Linked DNA regions of Diceros bicornis minor. The protein of the gene in region 2 interacts with the protein of the main gene of each other region in a biochemical or structural test. Links are inferred from orthologs where the notes say so. Each region holds a gene or a part of one and is shown on either strand. Other genes may lie near its edges. The genes, in order: APBB1, EVL and RAD51.

The links.
Region 1: the proteins of EVL (region 2) and APBB1 form a complex in vitro, tested with the Homo sapiens proteins (2 studies listed by BioGRID). The link is inferred for Diceros bicornis minor from reciprocal best matches to the Homo sapiens genes EVL and APBB1.
Region 3: the proteins of EVL (region 2) and RAD51 form a complex in vitro, tested with the Homo sapiens proteins (2 studies listed by BioGRID and IntAct). The link is inferred for Diceros bicornis minor from reciprocal best matches to the Homo sapiens genes EVL and RAD51.

Annotation. Positions count from the first base shown.
Region 1 is NC_080746.1:64,493,610-64,501,636, reverse strand, and holds the start of APBB1 (amyloid beta precursor protein binding family B member 1), read left to right. Parts: upstream 1-4,938; 5' UTR 4,939-4,999; intron 5,000-5,257; exon of another isoform or gene 5,258-5,394; intron 5,395-5,826; exon of another isoform or gene 5,827-5,913; intron 5,914-8,027. UniProt on the Homo sapiens protein: Transcription coregulator that can have both coactivator and corepressor functions. Adapter protein that forms a transcriptionally active complex with the gamma-secretase-derived amyloid precursor protein (APP) intracellular domain.
Region 2 is NC_080763.1:45,031,127-45,038,675, forward strand, and holds the start of EVL (ena/VASP-like protein), read left to right. Parts: upstream 1-4,512; 5' UTR 4,513-4,948; coding exon of another isoform or gene 4,949-4,953; intron 4,954-7,549. UniProt on the Homo sapiens protein: Ena/VASP proteins are actin-associated proteins involved in a range of processes dependent on cytoskeleton remodeling and cell polarity such as axon guidance and lamellipodial and filopodial dynamics in migrating cells.
Region 3 is NC_080744.1:38,525,264-38,533,360, forward strand, and holds the start of RAD51 (DNA repair protein RAD51 homolog 1), read left to right. Parts: upstream 1-5,078; 5' UTR 5,079-5,128; exon of another isoform or gene 5,129-5,325; intron 5,326-5,926; exon of another isoform or gene 5,927-6,008; intron 6,009-8,097.

The DNA.
Region 1 (8,027 bases), on a different chromosome or scaffold from region 2:
AAATAGGAGAGTGTATTGTACCAATCACTGTTCAATAAGGATATAGAAATCACTCTAGATATAAGCAGAGAAGGATTTAATGCAAAGAATTTGTTACAAAGTTGTGGGGGAGGTCTGGAGAAGCATAAGAGGGAAAGCAGGGTTACCCAGAGATCAGGAAACTACCGCTAATCTTGGGTTAGAGGAGCAAAAGGGAGAAAAAGTACTGCCCAAAGATCAAGGAGCTGGAACCTACAAATCTGTACTCACTTGCTGATGCGGCTGGAGTTTGTACTGCTGATGCTACTGGAACCGCCCCCACTTCTGCTAGGCAGGAACCACTGCTGCTGACGTTGCCAGAGGCACTGCTAAAAGCAGAAGGGCTTCTCCCTTCCTCCCATCTTCCTCACTCGAGGGTTCCCATTGGCAGAACCTAACTGGAGCGAAGTGACAAAGGAACCTGAGAAATGTGGTTTTCAGCTTTCCAGTGCTGTGGGTGCAGGGGAGATTACAGAAGAGTGGATGTGGGGATAAGTACCAACAGGCAATATCTGCCACACATATTCATCATAACTTGTGGCTGCAAGTGATAAAACCCACTCAAAGTGGTGTAAGGAAAAAAGGAAATTTATTGACTCATGTGACTTCAGGCAGAGGTTAATATAGCTGTTAAATTGATGTTATTAGGCATCTCTCTCTCTCCATCCTTTAGCTCTGCTTTCTTTGACTTGGCTTCATTCTCAGGCAGGCTCAACCTTCCTGGTGGCAAGATGTCCACCAGGCTTACATTCTACCAGCACCTTTTACCCAACAGTTGCAGGAAAATTCCTGGATCTGATTTTCACTGGCTCAAATTTAGTCATGTGACCATCTTTGACTTGATCACATTGACCTGATCATGGGTTAGGAGCCCAACACTGAAGTGTGTTGTGGGGCTGGAATGATTCCCATCTGAAGCACACAGACTTAGAGTGGGGAGAGGATGGGTCTTCAAAGAAAACTGATGTGCTGTGACCAATAAAAGGGGGAATGGATGCTGCACAGATAACAACAACAAAGGTAACAACAACATGTTCATGACAAGATAATACTTACCTTGTAAAGTTTTTCTTGTTCTCTATCCAACCCTCCTTCCCTTCCTCAGCTAAAGACTTTGAAAATATTGATATCACTAGGCATGAAATACCTCAACCTCTTGCCTGCTCCCATCTTATTAATTACCCTACATATATCCTTGTCATCACCCCTACCCCTGCAGTCTATAAAGTCAAGGTGTATAATTCTTCTACATGAGCCCTTGATCCCACCTCCTCTCATCACCTCCTGGATCTCACCGCATCTCTCATCTTCTTTTTTCTTTACTTTCAAATCCATCTTCTCTACTGGTATCTTTTTGTAGCTTATACCCATGTCCAATTCTCCACCATCTTAAAAAAAAGACAAAACCAGAATCTTTAACTTCATATCACTTTTCAGGTACCATCTATTCTTTCTTCCAAATTTCTCAAAAGAGGGTTCTGCACTTACTTATTCTACATCCTCATTTTCATTTGCTCAATTCATTGCATTGCGGCTTCTGCCTCCATTTTCTGCTGATATAGATCATATCATGGGGATCCATGACCTCCATGTTGCCAAATTCAAAGGATAGTTTCTTGCGTTGACCTTATTAGAAATCTTTGCTGCATTTGATGCTGTGGATCAGTTCGTCCTCCTTGAAAGTCTTTCCTCCCTTGGATTTCTTCCATGACATTACTCTCTCCTAATTCTTCTCTTACTCTCTATTTCTTCTCAGCTTCATTCTTGGCCTTCTTTTCCTCTGCTGGCTCCCCAAATGCCGGCATTCCCAGAGTTCAGTCCTTAGTCCTTTTCTCTTCTCACCCTATACGCTCTTCCTGGGAATGGATTAGAATAGTCCTGCTGAAGAAGGGTGTTGAGGAATTCCTTGCCAGGCCTACCATCTGACTTATGAACTCCTTATATTATGTGGGAAGTTTTTACTCCTTATGGATTTTCTGAATGATAACAACCACCCAGAAGAATGAGGGTTTATTAGATCAACTACAAGAAAAGTTACAATATCAAAGCAATTCTTATATGTAGTGGTAGAAAAGGCTGCCTTTGCTCCATTAAGTGTCTTTGCTATTCTTCCATATAGGCGAGTTAGGTGCCAACTGCCTGGTAATGCTAATTGGCTGGTCTATTAAACCAAACAGCATAAATCCAGTACTCTTGGTAAGTGATTCATGATTTTCCTGATAGGTCCAAGGTAATAATTTTAAAAGACTGCTGCCTCAGAGGGCCCCACATTGGTCAGAACCACACACAGCACCCGAGGTGATTCATAGGCTATTGGTTGCTCCTAGGCCATGGAGAGCACCAGAAGGGGGAAGAGATACAATAGAGAAAGGATGGATGGATAGCACAGGTTCACTCCCCTTTAATCAGGACGCTTTGTACCCAGGAGGAGATTAGGGATTCAGGAAGACTGTGTGTGGGTCAAACTGCACTGTGTGTGAACTGTACATTTTCCTTTTTGCATTTTAATTAAACTAGCTAATTAAACTCCTCTCCTTACCCTCACCATCCTATCTGTGTGCCTCTGGTTACCTGAAAAGATTTCCCTGGATATTGCAGCCATCCTGCTCAATGGGGTTGGGAAGATAAGTATTCTGGTGGGCTGTTTGAAAATGGGTGATATTTCTGGATTTTTTCATTTATTGAAGCAGAAACCTGGAAGTAATCCTTTTATTTAGCCAATCAATCAATAGACCACTAATTTCTGTGAATTCCACCTCCTGAATATTCACTAAACCTGTGCAATTTTCTCCATCCCTACTCCTACCACTATAATCATCTCCCACCTAGACTACATCAGTTACTTACTAACTGGTCCCCACAGTGCCAATTTTGCTCTCCTCCTGTCTATTCTCCACTTAGCAGCCAGAAGTGATTTTCTAAAATGCAAGGGTGAACATGCCATTCCCCTGCCTCAAATTCTTTGATAATTTTCCATTCCCCTTAAAATAAAGTCCCAAACTCTTAGCCTAACATACAAGGTCCTCCTTGATTTGGCACCTACCCACCTTTCCAGCTCATCTTATGCCATTCTTCTCCACCATCATACGCATACTGGCCTTCTTGTGTTTCTCCCTTGACTTGGAATAATTTTCTCTTTTCTTGGCTGACCTCTATCTCATTCATCCCTTCCCCTCACGTAAGTGCCACTTCCCTATGAAAGCCTTCCCAAACCTTCTCAGGCCAAATTTAATCCACCCACATAGCATCCTGCACATCTCCTTCAAGATACTCATCACATTTCTAATCACATGTTTAATGTCTCTTTCCCCTGTTATTTGAGCTTCATGGAGGCAGGGACTGAATCTTTTTTTTTTTTTTTTTTTAATTTTAATTGACTTTATTTATTTATCTTTTGTGAGGAAGATCAGCCCTGAGTTAACATCCATGCCAATCCTTCTTCTTTTTGCTGAGGAAGACTGGCCCTGGCCTAACATCTGTGCCTATCTTCCTCCCCTTTATATGGGACACCACCACAGCATGGCCTGACAGGTGGTGCCTCACTGGGTGCTTGGGATCCAGACTCAGGCCACCAGCAGCAGAGCGCACGCAATGAACTGCTACGCCACGGGGCTGGCCCTGAATCTTGTTTCTTTACATGTTCCTAGCACCAAGGATAGTGCCTCACACCTAATAATTATTTGTTGAAAGAGAATGAATGAATGAGGACAGCTTTCCTCTTCTGGGTAACTCTTACTCATCTTTCAAGGACCCAGGTCAGATGTTATTTCCTCCAGGTTGGGTTACAGTCAAATCTGATTCATCTTTGGATCCCTAGAGCCAAGCTTGGGACCTGGAACACGGTTCATATATCACAGATGTTTGTCAAATCATAATAAACTCTTGGCCAGGAGTTGATAATTGTTGAAACTGAGTGATGGGTATATGAAGGTTCATTATACTGTTCTGTCTCCTTTTGTACATATTTGAAAATTTCCATAATAAAAAGTTAAAACATTTATATTCACCTCAAGTCGAGTGAAAGTGTGTGGTCAAAGATGATCTTGAAGCCTATGGCTTGGGCAAACCAGTAGATGGTGGTGCCATTTACTGGGATGGATGAAGTGGAGCTGCATTCAGTCGTGTGTGTGCATGCACATGCGCCTGTGCGCATGTTGGGGAGGGTTCTTTTCCACCCCAGTGAAACTTCTTAGAAGGTCAATAAAGGGATGAGATAATTTAAATTTGGACACCTTTAGTTTTAGGTCTCTTGAGGGTATCTCCTGTCAGTTGCTCAACAGTTAGCAGGTACAATAAATGAAAACCTCTGCCTTAGAGGAATGAGCCATGAGAAGGTTTCTGGATGGTAACATTCCCCCTTCATTATCTTTGATGGCCTCTGGGCTCTGATCTGACTGACCACTGGGAACTATCCCACTATCCAGGGAGTCTGCAGTAAATATTGTGCCCCACCATCCCCTCCTTCACACTTTTCATCTACCTTCTCGTCTTCTTTCTTCTCTCTTGTTAATTTCTACTGGGGAGGATTTGTTCTCGACATCTGGGAGGCCTCCCTTTATGTTCAGCAGCAGGGGTCGGGTGTTAGGAAACATCTAGGTTCCAGTCTGATTTCACTTACTTGTGACTGCAGGCAACTCACTTTACCTTTCTGAATCTCAGCATCTGCCTCTGAAAAATGAGGATAATAATAGCCAGCTTCCCAGGGCTCATGTGAGGACGAATGCATGTAAGAGGTTTAACACACAGCCCGGCACAGTGTAAGCGGTCAATAAACACGAGCTATTATTATCACCAGCGCTGCGTCCTCATTGCCTCTCCACCAGGACGTCAGGGAGCTTGCCGCAAGAGCGGGGCAGGCTGCCTCCTCGGAGCCCCTCACCGCGCGGCCACGGCCCCGGGCACGGCCACCGCCGCTCCCGCTCCAACCTCGTCGGAGCGTCGCCCCGCGGGGGTGCGGGGCCAGGGCCCTGCGGGGCGCGGGGTGAGTCCGTGGCCTCGTGGAGGAGGGCGGTGCCAGCCTGGGCACGGGTCGGCGGAGGCTGGGCAGCGCTCTGGGACCCGGGGAACCGCGGCTGGATGGGGGGTGTTGGGCCGTGGGGCTCACCGCGGCCGAGGGTCCTGTAGGGTGGAGCCCTCTGGGAAGCGGCAGCTAATGCACCCCCGAGGGGCTCTCGCTCGTGGCCCGCGCCCGGCCCAAGATGGCGCCCCTCCCCCTCCCCCTCCCCCCGCCCCGCGCGCGCCCCCGCCGCTCCGGGCGCGGCCCCGCGGCCCGCGCGCTCCTGGGCGGGGGATGTTGTGATGGAGAAGCCGCCGCGGAGTCGGAGCCCCGCAGCCTGAGCCACCTCCGCCACCAGGGCCTGGGGCCTCCCCGCGCAGGTAGGAGCTGCCCCAGCCTGGGTCCAGCCACCGCGGCCGGATCCCGACCCCCAGCGGCCAGTAGACCCCGCAGTCCCTTCCCCGCGGCCGACCGGGTCCCCTGGCCAGGCCCGATCCCCGCGAGCGGCCCTCCCACCGCGCGCATTCCGACCCCGGTCCTGTCCCCCCTTGTAGGCTCCACCTCGGCCCTCACACCCTCCCCTCCCCGACCTTTACCTCCTGCTCCTCTGGGATGAATAGGGGGCGAGTATAAGGGACGCAAAGCGAGGGGCAGTGGGGGATGGGGGACGGAGGATGGAGGAGGGGAGGTCAAGGGCTGGCAAGGGGACGTGGGGTGAGGTAGACAGAGACCGCACGGATTCCTGCAGGGTCCCAGGCCTGGGGTCTGTCAAGCCGCATTCTGTTGCCCTCAGCGACCAAGGGGTGTGCCCTGGGGCCGGCTGTGTCCCCAGCTAAGCCGGGAGGCCTAGCACTCGGAGGAGACTCTTGAGGAGCAGTTTTCCCATTGCCAATTCAGAGGTGATTCCCAACCTATTTTGAATCTGCCTGTGCATTTCTTGCATTCCCAGCCTCTCCTGCATAGTCCTGGCTCTCTCCACTCTTCAAAGCCAAAACCTTGTCTACACTTACCCTTCATTTCCTCACTTCCCATTCATTCTTAAAACCACTTCATTCAGTCTTCTGTCTCTGACACCCACGGAAACTGCTCAAGCCAGGGTTACCGGAGACCTCCATGTGGCCAGTTCCAGTGGACACTTTCCTGGTATCCCCCGTTACCTTTCTGCAGTATTCAGTGGTGGTGTCAACTCTCCTTGAAGCATTTTTCTGGCTTCTCTCCTGTGGCATTGTCCACTCCATCTCAGTCTCATTTGCTCTCTCCTTCCTCTCCCTTTAGATGTTGGTGAGGCTCTTGATTCTGTCCTGAGCTGTCATCTCTCATTCGGCACTTTCTCTTTGGGTATTTTATTCACTCCCAAGGCTTCAAATTTTGTATATGTTTATATCCAAATTTGTATATCTGGTCCAGACCTCTTTCCTGAACTCCAGACTCAATATCCAGCTGTCCTCATGACATCCCTTTGGAAGTCCAGCAGGAACTCCAGACCCACAGATCCCAAGCTGAATTGGTTTCCCTCTGTCCCCTGTCTACCCTTCTTCCAAATCCGTGTTTCCTTCAACTCTCAGAAATGGCTACTTTCCAAGCGGTAACCCAAGCTGGAATCCTGGGCAACATTCTAGATTAACCTCTCTCCCTCACTCTCTACCTCTGATGTCACCAAGTTCTGTCACATCTACTACCAGAATAGTTTTCAGATCCATTCATTTCAGCCGTCTCCACTGCTACCAAACTGAATTTGGGCCACAATCCTTTTTGTCCTTGACTGCTCTAACAGCATACCCTCTTGCCTTTCTCCTGTTAACTACTCTCGACATAGTGTGATCCTTTAAAAAATGCATCTATCTGATCATCTATTCATTCAACAAATATGCTCTGAGTACCTAATATATACCAGGTACTGTGGTAGGCACTAAAGATATAATTATGAGCAAAACAGACTGGATTCTTGTCCCCAGGGAGCTGACAAACTAGGGGGGAAATCAGATAAGAATAAAATTATAGATATAATAAATACCATGAAGGAAAGGTGGACAGTGCCTTGTAAATACACAAGAACACAAGCTGAACTGGTCTAGGGGACAAGGAGAGAGCTACAAGGAAAGTTTCTCTGAGCATATGACATTTGAACTAAGATGTAAGAGATGAGTAGGGGTTGGTTAGGCTGAGAGAGTAGGGGAAGGAGGTTCCAGGCATAAATCACATGCAAACACTTTGTGGAAGGAGAGAGTACTTTGTCTTCGAGGAGTCAAAAGAAGGCCAGTGAGACTGGAGAGCAGAATGCCAAAGCTAGAGAGGAAGGTAGGGGCCAGGCTGAGCAGGACAGTTTAGGCCATGTTAAGAATTTTGGTCTTAGGGTCTTTGTCCTTGATGTGGATTGTTGATGATAGTGGGTGGGGAGAGTAGATCAAGTCCAGAAATTTTTCTCAGCAAGAAAATTGTCAATACCTGGAGATGGATCAAATATGGCGAGTGAGGGAGAAGATAATGTCAAGCATGGTACCTCTACTTCTGGTTTGCACAACAGGATGGATGGTCATATCATTCCACAAACCAGGATCCTGAAAGAGGACCAGTTAGGGTGTGGGAGAGAGAAACATGAGTGGGCATGTTAGTTTGAGAGGGCTTTGAGACATCCAGGTAAAGATGTTGAGGAGAAAGTTGTATGTACATGTGTGGAGCTCAGATGAGCGGTCAGAAATGGAGATGTAAATTTGGAAATCATCAGTGTATAGGTGGTAACTGAAGCTATGAGCATGAATGAATACCTATATTGAATATCAGGTAAGAAAGAGAAAAGAACATAAGAACAAGCTGTGAGAAACTCCAGTGTATAGTGGCTGGTAGAGGAAGATGAGCCAGCAAAGGAGTCTAAGAAACCACCAGGCAGTAACTACAGTGTAGGAAGAAAACCAGGAGATGTAGCATGTGGAAGCCATGGATGAAAGTTGGATGAGAGGCCCATGGTGTCAGATGCTGCTGAGAGGACAACCAAGATGAGGACGTCTGTTGGATT
Region 2 (7,549 bases):
TCACTGCCTCTAATTAAATTAAAAAAATTTTTTAAATAATGTGTGTTTTATTCCCCAAATTACGTTTTGTTCTCAGATTGCTCTTGTGCAAGATCTTCCTGATTCTCCCTTATAACTTCTCTATCAATCCCTCTGTTAGCCGTGCCACCTTCTGACTACTCAACTTGGTAGAACATCACATTGGGGGAATCGCTGCCTTCAAACTTTCCAAGTACCCTAAAATGTCTGCTCACACATTCAGAGGCCCAGGCCTCCTAGCCCCATTGCAGGAGTGAGTTCCCTCAGCCCCACAAAGGCCTGCTGTCAGGGTCTCCAAGGCAGGTCTGAGACAGCCAAGAGGCCAAAGTCATCAGGAAGTTTCTTCCCAAGGGCTGATGGTGAACAGCCCTGATAACTGGGGCTGGGAATGCGGGAGGGAGGTTGGGCTCTCCTAGGTAGGAGCTGGGTGCAACATCCCTTCCCAAAGGCCTGGGGTCTCGTGGGAAAGGGCGTAGGCTCCCCCGGGATCAGCAGCTCTCTCCAGGATTGCTGGCTGGGCTGGCCTGAGGGCTTACTTTTCTTAATTAATTAAGTGGGAACATTAAGATCCTATTAAGTGGGAACACTCAAGTCAGCCTTGGATGCAGGACTTGGCTCCAGACTCCTCCAGAAAGGCAGGCCTGTCCAGCCTGGGTCCTCAGTTCTCCTCCCAATGCAAACAGTGGCATTAAGAAGTTTCCCTCTGCTGGATGGGTACCAAACTGTCCCCAACCCCAATCTGGCCAAGCTTCCCCGCAATTGGTCCAGGTCTTGCGTTACCCTAGCAGGAAGCTGGAGTCATCCCCAGTAGGACCCCCACAGGCCCCTCTCCCAAGTCACCCCCTCCTGAGCCTTCAAAGCCGGTGAAACATAATCTTAAGGAGAGGCGTTTTGAGCGAGGAGCCTGACAGGTGGAGTCAAAGAGAAGCTCCAGCTGTGAACCATCCTCAAGTGTGTGGAAGGCTAAATGGGTCAGAAGCAATTGACATTTCCTGCCAGATGGACCTAGAACACAAGCAGGAGCTTTGGTTTCCAAAATGTAATGCCTGGGCACACAGGCTGGTCCCCAACCCCGCGGGCACTGCCTGGATAAGGACAACACTCCAGCAGGATCTCTTCAGCTCTGTGCTGTAACAAGCTCAGGGACCAAGAGGAATAAACCATGCTCGCTGCCTTCATGAAGTTCACAGTCTAGTGGAGGAACCAGCAAGTAAGAAGACCACCCCAATATGGTACAGTGGGGGTATGATGGGGCCAAGCCAAAAGCCCCAAAGCAGTATGGAGAATGGCACCTGCAGCCCTATGGGAGGGGAGTGCTGATGGTCCCAGGGGAGAAGTGACATGTGGGTGAGGGTTGAAGATGACTTGCCAGGTAAACAGAGGCAGTGGGCTGGGCATGAGAGGAGGCAGAGATGTGTAGGTGCTCAATAAACAGTGAATGAAAGAATGCATGAAAACAAATTGTGTTGTATGTAAGGAAAACAGTTGTTGGTAATAACTGAATTGGTCAGTGAGATTAATGGTGTAAATGAGAATTGTCAAAAAAGGGATGCAGAGTCACAGGTGGTCCCTGAGCCCCCTGAGACATCCGTTGTTGTCTTCACCTGAGTTTCTGGCATGAATTAGTAACTTACTTATGCTGGTTAATATAAACCAGACATGGTCTCATTGGTGAATCATCAAAAGCAACTCTGTTTCTTTTGATTATTTGCGGTGAGTGAGGTTTGTTTTGGCAAAGCCAAGTAATGGGGAATATGGCCCATGGGGCTGGTTCCTCACCAGTGACCCGGGGCTGGAAAAACATCAAGAAACAGGGAGGGAGCATGGGATAACGTGGGCAGTCCTGGGACTTGCAGACTGCAGAAACGTGTTCATCCAGCTCTTCATCCACTCACCTGTGTGACCTCTCTGGGCCTCAGTTTCACCCTCCTCAGGACAAGGCGGTCAGACAAGATACCCTTTGAGAACATCCTAGCTCTATTAAGTGTCTGTGGCTCGATGACTAGCCTGGGCTCAACAGACAGCAGAAACCCCATCTTTCCTGCCTCCCCCATGAATGGGAACCAGTCCAGGAGGGCCTCAGAGCTGACCCGGGGTAGTCAGCCTGGCCACGGGTCCCACACCCACACATATCAGATGTCACAGTCATTGACTTCAAGGAGCAAACTTTTCAAATCCAAGGAATGGTGACCTCCAGAAACAAATCATTTGAGGGCCACAGGTCCAAAAAAATGTTAATTTTCTTTTTATCAGAAGAATGGAAAACATGAATTCATGTACTTTTAAGGAATAAAGTCTTTATTCAGTAGATGGGAAACATGTTAAGTAGACTGGTTTCAAAAGATCCACAGTTAAGGGAAAGGGGAAGGAGAGGCGAGAGGGCGAGCGCTGGAGAAGGGCAGAAAGGCTCTTTCTCAGGAGTTACTCTGTGTTGACCCTCAGCAGTGCCTGCAAGACGGATTCAGGAGTCCGGTCTGTCAGTGAGAAACGGAGGCTGAGAGAGGTCTGCGATGCTTGGTTAAAACCGGGAGCTCTTCCTTCCCAAGCATCCTTGGGCTGTTAGACAAAGACCAATGCCCATTCATGGAGAAGTGGGGCTTAGTTTAGGGCGCAAGTGGCCCCTACCTGTCCTTCCCGGACCTTCTTGCTGCTCTTGAAGCCCTCTGAGGAACAAATATCGGATGCAAGAAACGACCTCTCCAGGAGCCCGACACAGCTGATTTCATGAATTCACGGGGTGATGTTAAACCACTTTCCCTTTCTCAGTGTTCCGTGCCCCCATCCTTTACCTAGAGAAGGATTTGCAGGTCCCTTCCAGCATCAGTATTCTGTGATCCTCCTTAAAGGAACTTGAATGTCTTTGTTGTTCCAGGCGATTGGCAGTTAGCCCGAAAGGTTGATAGCAGGCGTGTGCCCCTCACCTTTGATGCTCGTGTTGTATAACGAATCCACCAACATTTCCCAGCGAACCTTCTTCCAGTTACAAGACAGTAACAACTTGTCAGACTCCAAGGCAGCAGGGAAAAGGCCCAATTTGGAGGTCAGAGTGGGCCACATGCTTCTATAAACCAGGCTGGGAACAAACAGGCTATTGGCTATTGGGGGGTCTTCTCACAGTCAGATATGCACTGACCAGGGGTAACACTGCCTCTGCAGAGCAAAACTGGACGTCTCCAAGTGACCTGGGGCTTGTCTATTTTAGCAATTTTTAGGATCCAATAAGTCTCTTCTGTAGCAAAGAGCCAATCTCGACCCTGGGAATAGAGAGACAAATAAGGTTAGGGAGGCTGAAACCCTCTGGAGCTGCTAACAGGACTAGAGGGGCCCAAGGTGCCTTTTGAGTTTGAAGACTTCTGCTCAAATAGGGGAAGGAAAGTGGCAGTGTGACCACCAGTCTCTGAGGAACTCTGATAACAAGTGGGTGATGAGGGAGGGGACAGGGGACAGGGAGGGGGATAAACCCATAGAGACCCAATCTGCAATGAGTGAGAACGAAGATCAACTGCAGCAAAATCGAATGGAAGGCACTGGCGATTCTGAGTCAGAAAAACCTTGGCTTGAGAGCTGGCTCCACCATTTCCTGCATCTTGGGCAAAACCACGTAACTCACAGAGCCTCCTCTCACTCCGGGCCAGGAGCAAAACAGCCACCCTCCACTACCCTCCTACTGTATGCCAGACACCACAAACGCTTGATATGCTCTTGTTCAGACCCAATGTTTTAAAAGGCAGATGTGATTTCAATGTTGCTGTGACAGAGGGAAAAGGAGCATTAGTGGAGATATTGAAAAAGCACAATGAACGGTGTCTGCTTTAGGAAGGAGGGGGATTTAAGCAGAGAAAACAACTGGACGACCTCGTGTTGTCGAAGTGATTTTTCACAGGCTGTGGTTTTGGGGCGCCAGGTGGGGCTCCTGTTGGGCTGGGGGAGGACCTTTAGGTGCTGATATTGCCCCAAAGCTGCGACTCTCGGTCCCTGCCTTGGCTCTTCATTTACAAAAAGAGGGGTCAGTCGTTGCTGACCCCGACGCCCCTGGGACTGCCCGCTGCGTCTGAGCAAGCGGGGCACACAGCAGGGAAGCAGAAGGGGAAGCTTGGGACCACGGACCAAGGACGCCAGAGCACTAACCAGCCTTTGTCAGTACGTGGGGTACCTCGCGCGGGAAGGGGGCGCAGTGTTCCACGTGCCGGCCCGGCGCCCCGCCCCTTTAGGCCCCGCCCACCCGAGGCCACGCCCCTCACGGGGCCCCCGTCTTTGAAGCCCCGCCCCTCGCAGCTCCGCCCCGCCCCTCACTGCTCGCCCTTCCTGCGAAGCCCCGCCCCTCGGCCCGCCCCGCCCCTCACCGCTCAGCCTTCCCTCGAAGCCCCGCCCCTCGCGGCCCGCCCCGCCCCGCAGCCCCCGGCTCGCCTCTCCCGCAGGCGCGGGCTGTGGGGCCCCGCGCCTTTTGTGTCGGGCTCGGTCCGCCGCGCGCGCTCTCACCTCAGCGCCCGCGGGCTGAGGGACGCACGCGCGCGCACTTCCCTCAGCGGGCGGAGGGACGCACCCTCAGTCTCGCCTCGAGGGCTGAGCTCGCCCGCGCGCGCCCTCCCGCCTCTCCCTCGGCGGACCCCTAGCTGCCCGCGCCCGCCCGGGGGCCGCCGCCCCGAGTCTCGGGCAGACGCGCTCGCCCCCTCCCCTCCCTCCGGCGGCGCGCGCAGACGCCGGTGCGGGCACGCGCCCGCCAAGATGGCAGGGGCCGGGGCCCAGCTGTCAGGCGCCGCCGCCGCCGCCCTTCCCCGCAGCTAGCGGCCCGGACGCCCGCCCCGAGAAGATGAGCCCCCGCAGCCGCCCGCAGCCCAGCGAGACGCGGAGCCGCCGCGCCCGGGGCCGGCTCCCCCGCTAACGCCCCGCGCCGCGCCCCCGGCCCCGCGCGCCCGCCCCGGCAGCGACAATGAGGTGAGTCGGCGGGCGCCGCGCGGAGAGGGGACCGGGCGTCGCAGAGCCCGAGGGCCGGGCGGGCGGCGGCCGGAGCGCGGGGACGGCTCCGGGAGACTCGGGGGGCGCCGCGGACGGTGGGGGGGGTCGGGGGGGCGGCGCCCGGAGGAGGGGGGTGCCGGCCCTTGCCCTTGGCGGGAGGCACTTGTCGGGGCTGCGGGGCCGGGGTTGGGGGAGGCCGACCCCGCGGGCAGGTGTGGCCGCGCCCCGGCCGCGCGGTGGCACACGTTGGCCGCAGCCCCGTTCGGTGCCTTCCAGCCCCGAGGAGGCCGGCCCGAAGCCCCTCCGCCTCCCTCTCCGGGCTGTCCCCCTGGGCGCAGCCTCCCCTCTGCCGGCGCGCAGAGCCTCCTTTCAGCGTCCTTGTAAAGCGGGAGTTTCCTTCCGTCTGCAGCTCTTACTCCCTCTGCTCCCCTTTCTCCCCCCTTTTCTTTTCTTCTTGCACGCCAGTCAAGTGCAAGACCCCAAATGTGCTGCTCGCTGATTTATCACCCAGCCGGGGGGTCTGGCGGTTATCAGGTCAAGAAATACACACCGCCAGCACCCAGGAGCCCGGAATTCCCTCTCTAGAGGTAGCCTAATCCTGACTTCTGGGGGATAATCATTTCCTTGCCTTTTTTGTCTGAAATTTTACCTTCTAAACACATATCTCATAAAAACTATAGTATCTGTCGTTTCATTTTGCCTGTTTTGTGAACTTTATGTAAATGAAATGATACAATATATATTCTTTTGTGTCTGGAGGTTTTTGAGATTCATCCATTCTGTTGTAACTGTTGTTCATTTTGATTGATCTGTAGTATTCCATTGTACGAATGTCCACAATTTATCCGTTCCACTGTTGGTAGACGTTTGAATTGTTTCTAGCTTTTAGCTATTAATAATGCTATTATGAATGTTCTTATATGTCTCCTGGGGCATTCATTTCTGTTGGGAAGATACCTAGCAGTGGAATTTGTAGGTCAAAACATGTGCATATCTTCAACCTTAGTAGATAATGCCAAGTTTCCAAAGTGTTTGTATCAATTTACACTCCTACCAGGAAGTATATGAGAGTTCTTGTGCTCCACATCCTTATCAACACTTGGTATTGTCAGTCTCTAATTTTAGCCATGCTGGTGAGTGTGAAGTGGTGTGCCATCGTGGTTTTAAATTGCAGTTTCTTGTTGACTGATGAGGTTGAACATCTTTTCATGTTTATTTGATACCCTCTTTTATGAAGTGCCTGTTCAGCTGTCTTGCCCAGTTTTCCTTTGGGCTTTACATGTCTTTTTCTTCCTAATTTGTAGTTCTAGTCCAAAGTCAAGAAGATAGTTTCCTATAACGTCTTCTAGAAATCTTACTGTTTTGCCTTTCAAATTAAGATCTGTAGTCCACTTGGGATTGATTTTTGTGGAACTTGTGAAAAAGGGGTCAAGTTTGATTTTTACCAGCACCGTTTATTCAGCACTGTTTATCAAAAAGGTCATCTTTTCCCCATAGTTCTGCAGTGCCACCTTTGTCATCTTCCAGTCTTCTATTTGGGGTCATTATTTTTCTGCCTGAAGAATACCCTTTAGTATTCCTTTAGTGCAGATCAGCTGGTGACAAATTCTTACAGTGTTTTTTTGCAGATGTCATTTATCCTGCATTTTTTTTTAAAAAACAGCTTTATTGAGATATAATTCACAGGCCATAAAATTTAACCATGTAAAGTATACAGTTCAGTGGTTTTTAGTATTTTCACGAGTTATACAGCCGTTACCACAGTCTAATTTTAGAACATGTTTCTCCATTTTTTTTTTTTTTTTTTTTGTGAGGAGATCAGCCCTGAGCTAACATCCGCCAATCCTCCTCTTTTTTTTTTTTTGCTGAGGAAGACGGCCCTGGGCTAACATCTGTGCCTATCTTCCTCCACTTTATATGGGACGCCGCCACAGCATGGCTTACCAAGCAGTGCGTCGGTGCGCGCCCGGGATCCGAACCAGTGAACCCCGGGCCGCCGCAGCGGAGCGCGCGCACTTAACCTCTTGCGCCACCGGGCCGGCCCCCCATGTTTCTCCATTTTTGAAGGGTCTTTTCAGTAGTTACAGAATTCTTGGTTTGCCATTGTTTTCTTTTAGCACTTTAAAGATATCTTATTATCTCTGACTTGGATTGTTTCTGTTGAGAAGTCACTTATCAGTCTGTTGTTCCTTTGAAGGTACAGTCATGAGCCACATAATGATTTTTCGGTCAGTGATGGACTGCATATATGACAGTGGTCCTGTAAGATTAGTACCATATAGCCTAAGTGTGTAGTAGCCCATACCATCTAGGTTTGTGTAAGTACACTCTGTGATATTTGTACAGGGATGAAATCACCTAATGATGCATTTCTTAGAATGTATCCCAGTCATTAAGCAACACATGACTGGTCTTTTTCTCTGGCTGCTTTTAAAATGTTCTCTTTGTCTTTGCTTTTCAGCCATTTTCTATGCTGTTTCTAGTATGGATTTTTTTCCCCCCACTTATACAGGCGTAACTCAGAGATATTGAGGGTCTGGTTCCAGACCACCACAAAAAAGTGAATATCGCAATA
Region 3 (8,097 bases), on a different chromosome or scaffold from region 2:
TCAGAGTCAGAGAAGGAGATGTGATGATGGAAGCAGAGGTCAGAGTGATTGTTGGCTTTGAAGATGGAACCAAAGAATGCAGATGCCTCTATTTTTATTTTTTGCTGAGGAAGATTCGCCCTGAGCTAACATCCATTGTCAATCTTCCTCTTTTTTTTTTCCTTGAGGAAGATCAGCCCTGAGCTAACATCTGTGCCCATCTTCCCCCACTTTGTATGTGGGATGCCTCCACAGCATGGCTGATGAGTGGAGTAGGTCCGTGCCCAGGATCTGAACATGTGAACCCAGGCCACCAAAGCAGAGCATGCAGAACTTGAACTACTCAGCCATGGGGCCAGCCCCTGCTGATGTCTCTAGAAACTGGAAAAGGCAAGGAAACAGATTCTCTCCTAGGACCTCTAGAGGGAACATAATTCTGCCAACACCTTGATTTTAGGCCAGTGAAACCCATTTTGGAATTCTGACATCCAGAACTGTAAGATACTACATTTTTGTTGCTTTAAGCCACTAAATTTGTGGTAATTTGTTACAGTAGCAATAGGAAACTTAGACAGTGGGATAACTATTCTGTTCCATTGACCCATCATTTTTGTACAAGTACTTTTTAATTATTGTGGTTTTATAATATGTTTTAATATTTGGCTGGTTCAGGCTCTATTATATCAGGATTTTCCTGGCTCTTCTTGCTTTTTATTTTACCATATAAAGGTGAGAACTAGTTTGTTCAATTCCAAAAAAAAAATCTTGTTGACATTTTACTGAGATCATGTTATACTAGATTTAAAGATAACTAACGGAGAACTGATATGTTTAAGATGCTGACTCTTCCAAAACAAGTAGATAGGATGCTTTTCTGTTTTGTTTCCTTCTTTTCTTTATTTATTTGGTGAGGAAGATTAGCCCTGAGCTAAAATCTGTTGCCAATCCTCCTCTTTTTGCTGAGGAAGATTGGCCCTGGGCTAACATCCGTGGCCATCTTCCTCTACTTTACATGTGGGAGGCCTGACACAGCATGGCTTGGTAAGCGCTGCATAGGTCCGCACCTGGGATCCAAACCAGCGAACCCGAGGCCATCAAAGCGGAGTGCGCCAACTTAACCACTACACCACCAGGCCAGCCCCTTGTGTCCTTCTTTAATATCTCAAAGTTTCCTTCTCACAGGATGTGCACTTTCCTTGTAAGTTTATTCCAAGGCATTTAATATTTTTGTTACCATTTTAAATTATCATCATAAAGTCAAAACAAATTCATACCAAAAATTCAAACAATACATAAAGAATATAGATGAGGTGCTGGCCCAGTGGCCAAGTGGTTAAGTTCACGTGTTCTGCTTCGGTGGCCCAGGGTTTGCCAGTTCGGATCCTGGGCGAGGAACTACTCACCACTCATCAAACCATGCTGAGGCGGCACCCCACATAGAAGAGCTACAACTCTACAACTATGATACACAACTACATACTGGGGCTTTGGGGAGAAAAAAGGAAAAAAGAGGAAGATTGGCAACAGATGTTAGCGCAGGGCCAATCTTCCTCAAAAAAATTAAATTAAAAAAAACTGATACAGATAAAGGCAAAGTCATCCAAAATCTTACGAGTGAGCATCCTTCCACAAACTAGGTTCTCTTAGGCATAAAGAAGGGCAATGACTGTTGGGTAGGCAACCAACAGTGATTGCCACAAAGCCCATTGGGATTTCTATTGGGAATTCTCTGATTTTGGAGAATTTTCAACTTTATAATGTTGAGCCTCCTCTGGGAACACAGTTTCAGAGATTTCTCCATATAGGTCCTGAACATTTCTTTCTTTCTTTTTTTTTTTTTTTTTTGTGAGGAAGATCAGCCCTGAGCTAACATCCATGCCAATCTTCCTCTTTTTGCTGAGGAAGACCGGCCCTGAGCTAACATCTATTGCCCATCCTCCTCATTTTTTTTCCCTTTTTCTCCCCAAAGCCCTAGTAGATAGTTGTATGTCATGGTTGCACATCATTCTAGTTGCTGTATGTGGGACGCTGCCTCAGCATGGCCGGACAAGTGGCACACTGGTGCGCGCCCAGGATCCGAACCCGGGCCGCCAGTAGCGGAGCGTGTGCACTTAACCACTAAGCCGTGGGGCCAGCCCCTGAACATTTCCAAAAGTTTATTCGTAGAAATGGTTTTTGTTACTACTGTGAATGGGATCTTTTTTTCCCTACATTGTCTAATTAGTTATTGTCAGCAGTTAATAAAGCTCTGATCTTTTTGTATTTTGTAATTAGTTACACTAATGTATTCTCTTATTGTCCTTTAAACTATCCAGGTATATAATCATATCTGTAAATTTTTTCCAACATTTACATCTTTTATTATTTTTTATTACTTCATTCTCTTATTATTATACTTAGTGGCACTTCCTGAAAAATAGTAAATAACAGAGGCAATAGACAATTTTGTTCTTGATTTTAATGAAAATGTTTCTAACATGTCACGGTAAGCAGATGACAGCAGCTTGTTTGGGACATCTATTTTTTTCTTGATCCTGTTAGGGAAACATCTAATTCCTTTTTAACTTTTTTGCCCTCTTCAGGAATTTATGTTGAATTTTATTGAATGCATTTTCAATATGATGAAATTAACCACACGGTTTTTCTTCTTGACCTATTAATATGGTCAATTATAATAACAGACTTCCTAATATTTTTTTTTAAAGATTTTTATTTATTTATTTTTTCCCCCCAAAGCCCCAGTAGATAGTTGCATGTCATAGTTGCACATCCTTCTAGTTGCTGTATGTGCTGCACTCGGCCTCGGCACGGCCAGAGAAGCGGTGCCTTGGTGCGTGCCCGGGATCCCAACCCCGGCGGCCAGCAGCGGAGCATGCGCACTTAACCGCTAAGTCACGGGGCCGGCCCCAGACTTCCTAATATTGAATCATCCTTGCACTACTCAAATGGATCACTTGGATGTGACACTGGCTTTCCCTTTCTGTGCTCCAGGCTGACTATGCCAATGAGATTATATATATATATACACATATATATATACATATTTTTTTTTTTTGAGGAATATTCGCCCTGAGCTAACATCTGTTGCCAATCTTCCTCTTTTTCTTTTTTCTCTCCAAAGCCCCAGTACCTAGTTGTATATCCTAGTTGTAGGTCCTTCTAGTTCTGTGTGGGACACTGCCTCGGCATGGCTTGATGAGCAGTGAGTAGGTCCGTGCCCAGGATCGGAACTGGTGAATCCCGGGCTGCTGAGGCAGAACGCGCAAACTTAACCACTAGGGCCCAGAGATTATTATTTTTCTTGAGACAAAAGATTACGTTTCTGCTGATTAAGTTTTGATCTTATTAGAGGTTGTCTCCTTGAGATTTCAGATAGATCACTTAGATTATAATTTAGGATATATCCAAAACTTATCAGTTACACATTTATCAACATTTTCATGGATTGCTAATTTTACTGTCAGCAAAAAATCTAGTTTGTCTTATTTTCAGTTCTTAGCGGGTTATTGGAGGAAAGGAACAGAAAACTACTCAAATTGGTTTAAGTAGAAAAAAATGGAAGGGAGATTTATTGGAATGTAGAGGTATCTCACAGACTTCAAGAGCAGTAAGTGCTGCCAGGCCTCTGAGAAACTGGAAAGGAGATCTGGAAAGCAGTCAGAATTTAAAACTGTTTCTCTCTGTCTCAGACTCTCTCCCAATTTTTCAGTCTCTCAATTTCTTAATCTTTCTGCAGATGGGACTTCTCTGGTTTGACATCTACACAGACACATAAATTTCATTAAAAGGAAAGGTCAAAGTCATACAACATCACTCAGCCAAGAGGAGCTGTGGGTTTGCAGATGCTCTCAGGAGGAGGGTGTGTGAAGAACGGGATGTAAATGTGGGTATCTTTGGTATGGAAAGCAATTCACTATTATCCCCAGGTACTATATGTAATCACTAAGTTAGGGTGATTCTACCTCCAGAATGCTTTTTGAACTTGTTCTTTCTGGCATTGCTCTAATTCAAGCCTTCATCTCTTGCCTGAAATATTGCCAAGAGCTTCCTGACAGTTTTTGCTGTCTTGACTCTCACTCTCCCGAAATCTATCCTTCATTGCCACGTGATAATGGTGTGAGGATTAAATAAAAACTTTATGAACTTTGAAGCACTCCACAAATATAAAGTATTGGTGGAGAAAAAAGTAGATCTAACCACATGACTCGTCTGCTTAAAAATTTTCAATGATTTCCCCATTACCTAAATAAAGACAAAGCTCCATACTTGGTCTTAAGCCTCTTCATAGCCTGAACTAAACGTAACTTTCCAGTCTCAGCACCTCTTACGACACTTTTCCTCCCTCATCAGACAATACTATTCCTTGACCATGTCGTTAATGTCCATGCCCACACTGCTCTGTTTATGTCTTCTCTCTCTTCCTCGCCTGGGAAACCCTATTGACTCTTTAAAATCGGAATCACAGGTCAAACTTTCTAGTAAACCATAAGGTTTACCCTCTCACAATCAATGCCTCTTTCCTCTGGAGTCCTGCAAATCTTCAGTAATGTACCACAGCTTGACTAATACTTCAGCCATTTCTTTCTTCCCTCCACTAGCTCTATTTCCCAGTTTAATCCATCTGCTCGAGTGTCCTCAGCTCCACCGCCTGCAGGGGCCTGGAAAGCGCCCGGCTCTGACAATTTGACTGAACCGGAGGCTCACAGCTATCTGAAGTGCCAAAAGCTCACGTTTAGAAACTTCAGAAGCAAATCAACAACAGCTCTCCAGAGCCACGCTATTTCCCAGGAGGGCTAAGGAACTACAGTCGCGGCGTCCGCCGGCGGTGCATACTGGGAGATGTAATCTCGGGCCAACCCCACTACCTCTTGGGAGTTGTAGTCCTCGATCTGGTAAGGAGAAGAAAGCTGCAACTCCCAAATTTTGAATTAGCCCTTAGGAGGAAAAGGAAGAGGGCAATCCATAATACCATGCAAGGTCAAGTTCCGTTGACCCATCTCTTAAGCTCGCGAGCAGTGGCTGAAGGGGCTAGAAGGCGGATCCGAGAAGGCCGGGGAGACGTTACGTTGACGCGGGCGTGACCCTGCCAGAGGTTTGGCGGGTTTTCCGAAAGCTGCCGGACGGCGCGCGCGCTGAGGGCTGAGGAGAGGTGAGACGGGCTCCGGGGCGCGTAGTCGGGAGCTGAAGCTCACCTGGGTTGTGTGCAGGGGCCAGAGCAAGGGAGTAGAGAAGTGAGGCGCAAGCGAGGGGGTCTGGAGTCCGTCCGGGGTCGAGCGCGCCCGAGCCAGCGGAGGGAAGTCGGAGCGCGCAGCCCGCCCGGGAGAGTAGCGAGCGCCGCAAGCCAAGGTGAGTGTGTAAGGCGCAGACCGGGCCCCTTTCCACCGCCGGGCTCGTCCCTGCGTTAGCCGGACCGGGCCCCGGGCCCTTGCTCCCCCGGCCGGCTTATGGGGCCCCTCTGCGCCGAGAAGCTCCAAGATGGCGGGGCGGAGCTGGGGCGTGCCCGGGCACATCGACCTTCGGACCTCGTTGTGGCAAAACAGCAGCGGACCCCAGTCTTTAGAGGTGGAAGCAACCTTAGACGGCTTCCTTTCCAACCCCTGCTTTATGGGCGTCGGCGAGGAAGCCAAGATCCGGGGAGGTGTGGTGACTTAAAGTCACAGCTGTTTCATGTCGGGGCCAGGGTTTCCGGATTTCTGGTCAGTCTTCTTTCCATTACACCGTGTTTTGCTTACAAAGTACCAAACTCCAATTGCCAAAGGGAAATTTTCGTTATCTAATGCGGAAGACCTTTTAGTGATGCCTAAGGAACGATCTGTAGTGAGGTTTGTTTTTTTTTAAACTTCTAAAGTGAAGTGTAATATGTATGTGGAAAAGTGCACAAATCAAAAGTGTACACAGCTCCATGAATTATTAACAAAATGAATATACCTGTGTAATCACCACTCAGGTAAAGAAGTAGAACGCTGTCAGCCCTGCAGAAGCCCCGCTTGTGCCCCCTTGTCTAATACTCTCCCCGCTTCTCCCCAAAGGTAACCACTATATTGACTTCTAACACCCTTGACTAATTTTGCCTGTTTTTGAATTTTGTATAAGTAATACTGTATATTTATATTTTTGTGTCTGGCTTTGCTCAACATTCTGTCTGTAGATTCATACGTCTTTGCATATAGCAGTAATTCTTTTTCGTTGTTATATTGTATTCCTTATTCATTCTACCCATGGTAGACATTTGGGTTGTTTTTAGTTTTTGGCTTTTATGAGAAAGGCTGCTGAGAACATTTCTGTATACATTTTGGTGCACATGTGTGTGCTTTTCAGTGGCTAATAATACAGAGTAGTGAAATTCTTGGGTCATAGCATTTGTCTATCTTCAGCTTTCACATTGAATACTACTTTTCCAAAGGTGTACCAGTTTACACTCAAACCAGCAGTGTTTGAGTGTTTAGTTGTTCCACATGATTGCTAACACTTGATATTGTCAATCTTTTTAATTTTAGCTATTCTGGTAGGTATATAGTTGTATCTTGTGGTTTTAGTATTTAATTTCCCTGATTCTTAATGAGGTTAAACATTTGTTCATATGTTTGTTGGGCCATTTGACTATCTTCTGTTGTGAAGGCCTTGTTCACATCCATTGCCTGTTTTTCTCTTGGGTTGCCTGTCTTGCTGATTTGAAGGAATTCTTTATATATTCTGGTTATCAGCCCCTGGTGTATATATGTGGTAAATATTTTCTCCGCTCACTATAGTTTGACTTCATTCCCTTCATGGTGTCTTTTAATGGATAGAAGTTCTAAATAAAAGTATAGTCTAGTTTTTCAGTCTTTTCGTTTTTGGTTATTGCTTTACGTATCTAGTTTAAGAAGTCTTTCTCTGTCCCAAAGTTGTGAAGATATTTGTCTATATTCTAAAAGCTTTGTTTTTCCCATTACACTTAGATCTATAATCTACATTGGAAATTGATTATTTTTCTGTGGTATGAGATAGAGATCAAGTTTATTTTATTCTATAAGGCTATCCAATCAATCCAGTACTATTAATTGAAAAGACCATCCTTTCCCCATTACTCTGCAGTGCCATCTTTTCCGTAAATTATGAAGGGAGACATTTAAATTTAAATTATGTTCAGCTGATTCGATATTTGGACTTATCATAGACTCACATTATGCTAAATCTGCCATCTACGAGATCTGTATCTGTACCAATCAAGAACAAATGGTCATGTCAAGTCTCTAAGAATGGAGATTTCATACCTGTTATCTTTTTTTTTTTTTTGTGAGGAAGATCAGCCCTGAGCTAACATCCATGCTAATCCTCCTTTTTGCTGAGGAAGACCGGCTCTGAGCTAACATCTATTGCCAATCCTCCTCCTTTTTTTTTCCCCCAAAGCCCCAGTAGATAGTTGTATGTCATAGTTGTACATCCTTCTAGTTGCTGTATGTGGGACGCGGCCTCAGCATGGCCAGAGAAGCAGTGCGTCGGTGCGCGCCCGGGATCCGAACCCGGGCTGCCAGTAGCGGAGCGCGCGCACTTAACCGCTAAGCCACGGGGCCAGCCCAATATCTGTTATCTTTTGAGTTAAATTTATCCTGATTGTTAAATTGTCCAGGTTGTTTTGGTGTGATTTAAGTCCATTTATTCTGTGGACATCAAGGCTTGTTCGCTTTTACTAATACCTCCTGAAAATAATTAAAAAATTTTTTTGTTCTCAGTTCTTCTTTTCAACCTGAGCAATCTTAACTCTATCATAATAACCTGACTTGAGCTTTGGGCCTTACGCTCATCTGGAATATTTCAGACTGAGCAGGGTACTTGCATGTTATTTATTCATTTGTGCATTCATTGAGGTCTGTAATTGATTAATATGGTGATCTTTAAATTTCATACACTCCTATCAGAAGCAAAATGTGTGACTACAAGCTATGATTCTTGCCTAAGATGAGAAGTGCCTTTCTCATCCCAGTCCATTGTTTCTGTCAGAAATGGAGGCTTATGGGCAGTCATTATGTACCTTCATTTCACTCCTGTCCCACCACCACCCCCAAACCCCGCTTGCTGGAAGGGAACAATGGAACTGAAGCAGTTTAATCTTTCATCATTTTTTTTTTTTTTAATTTT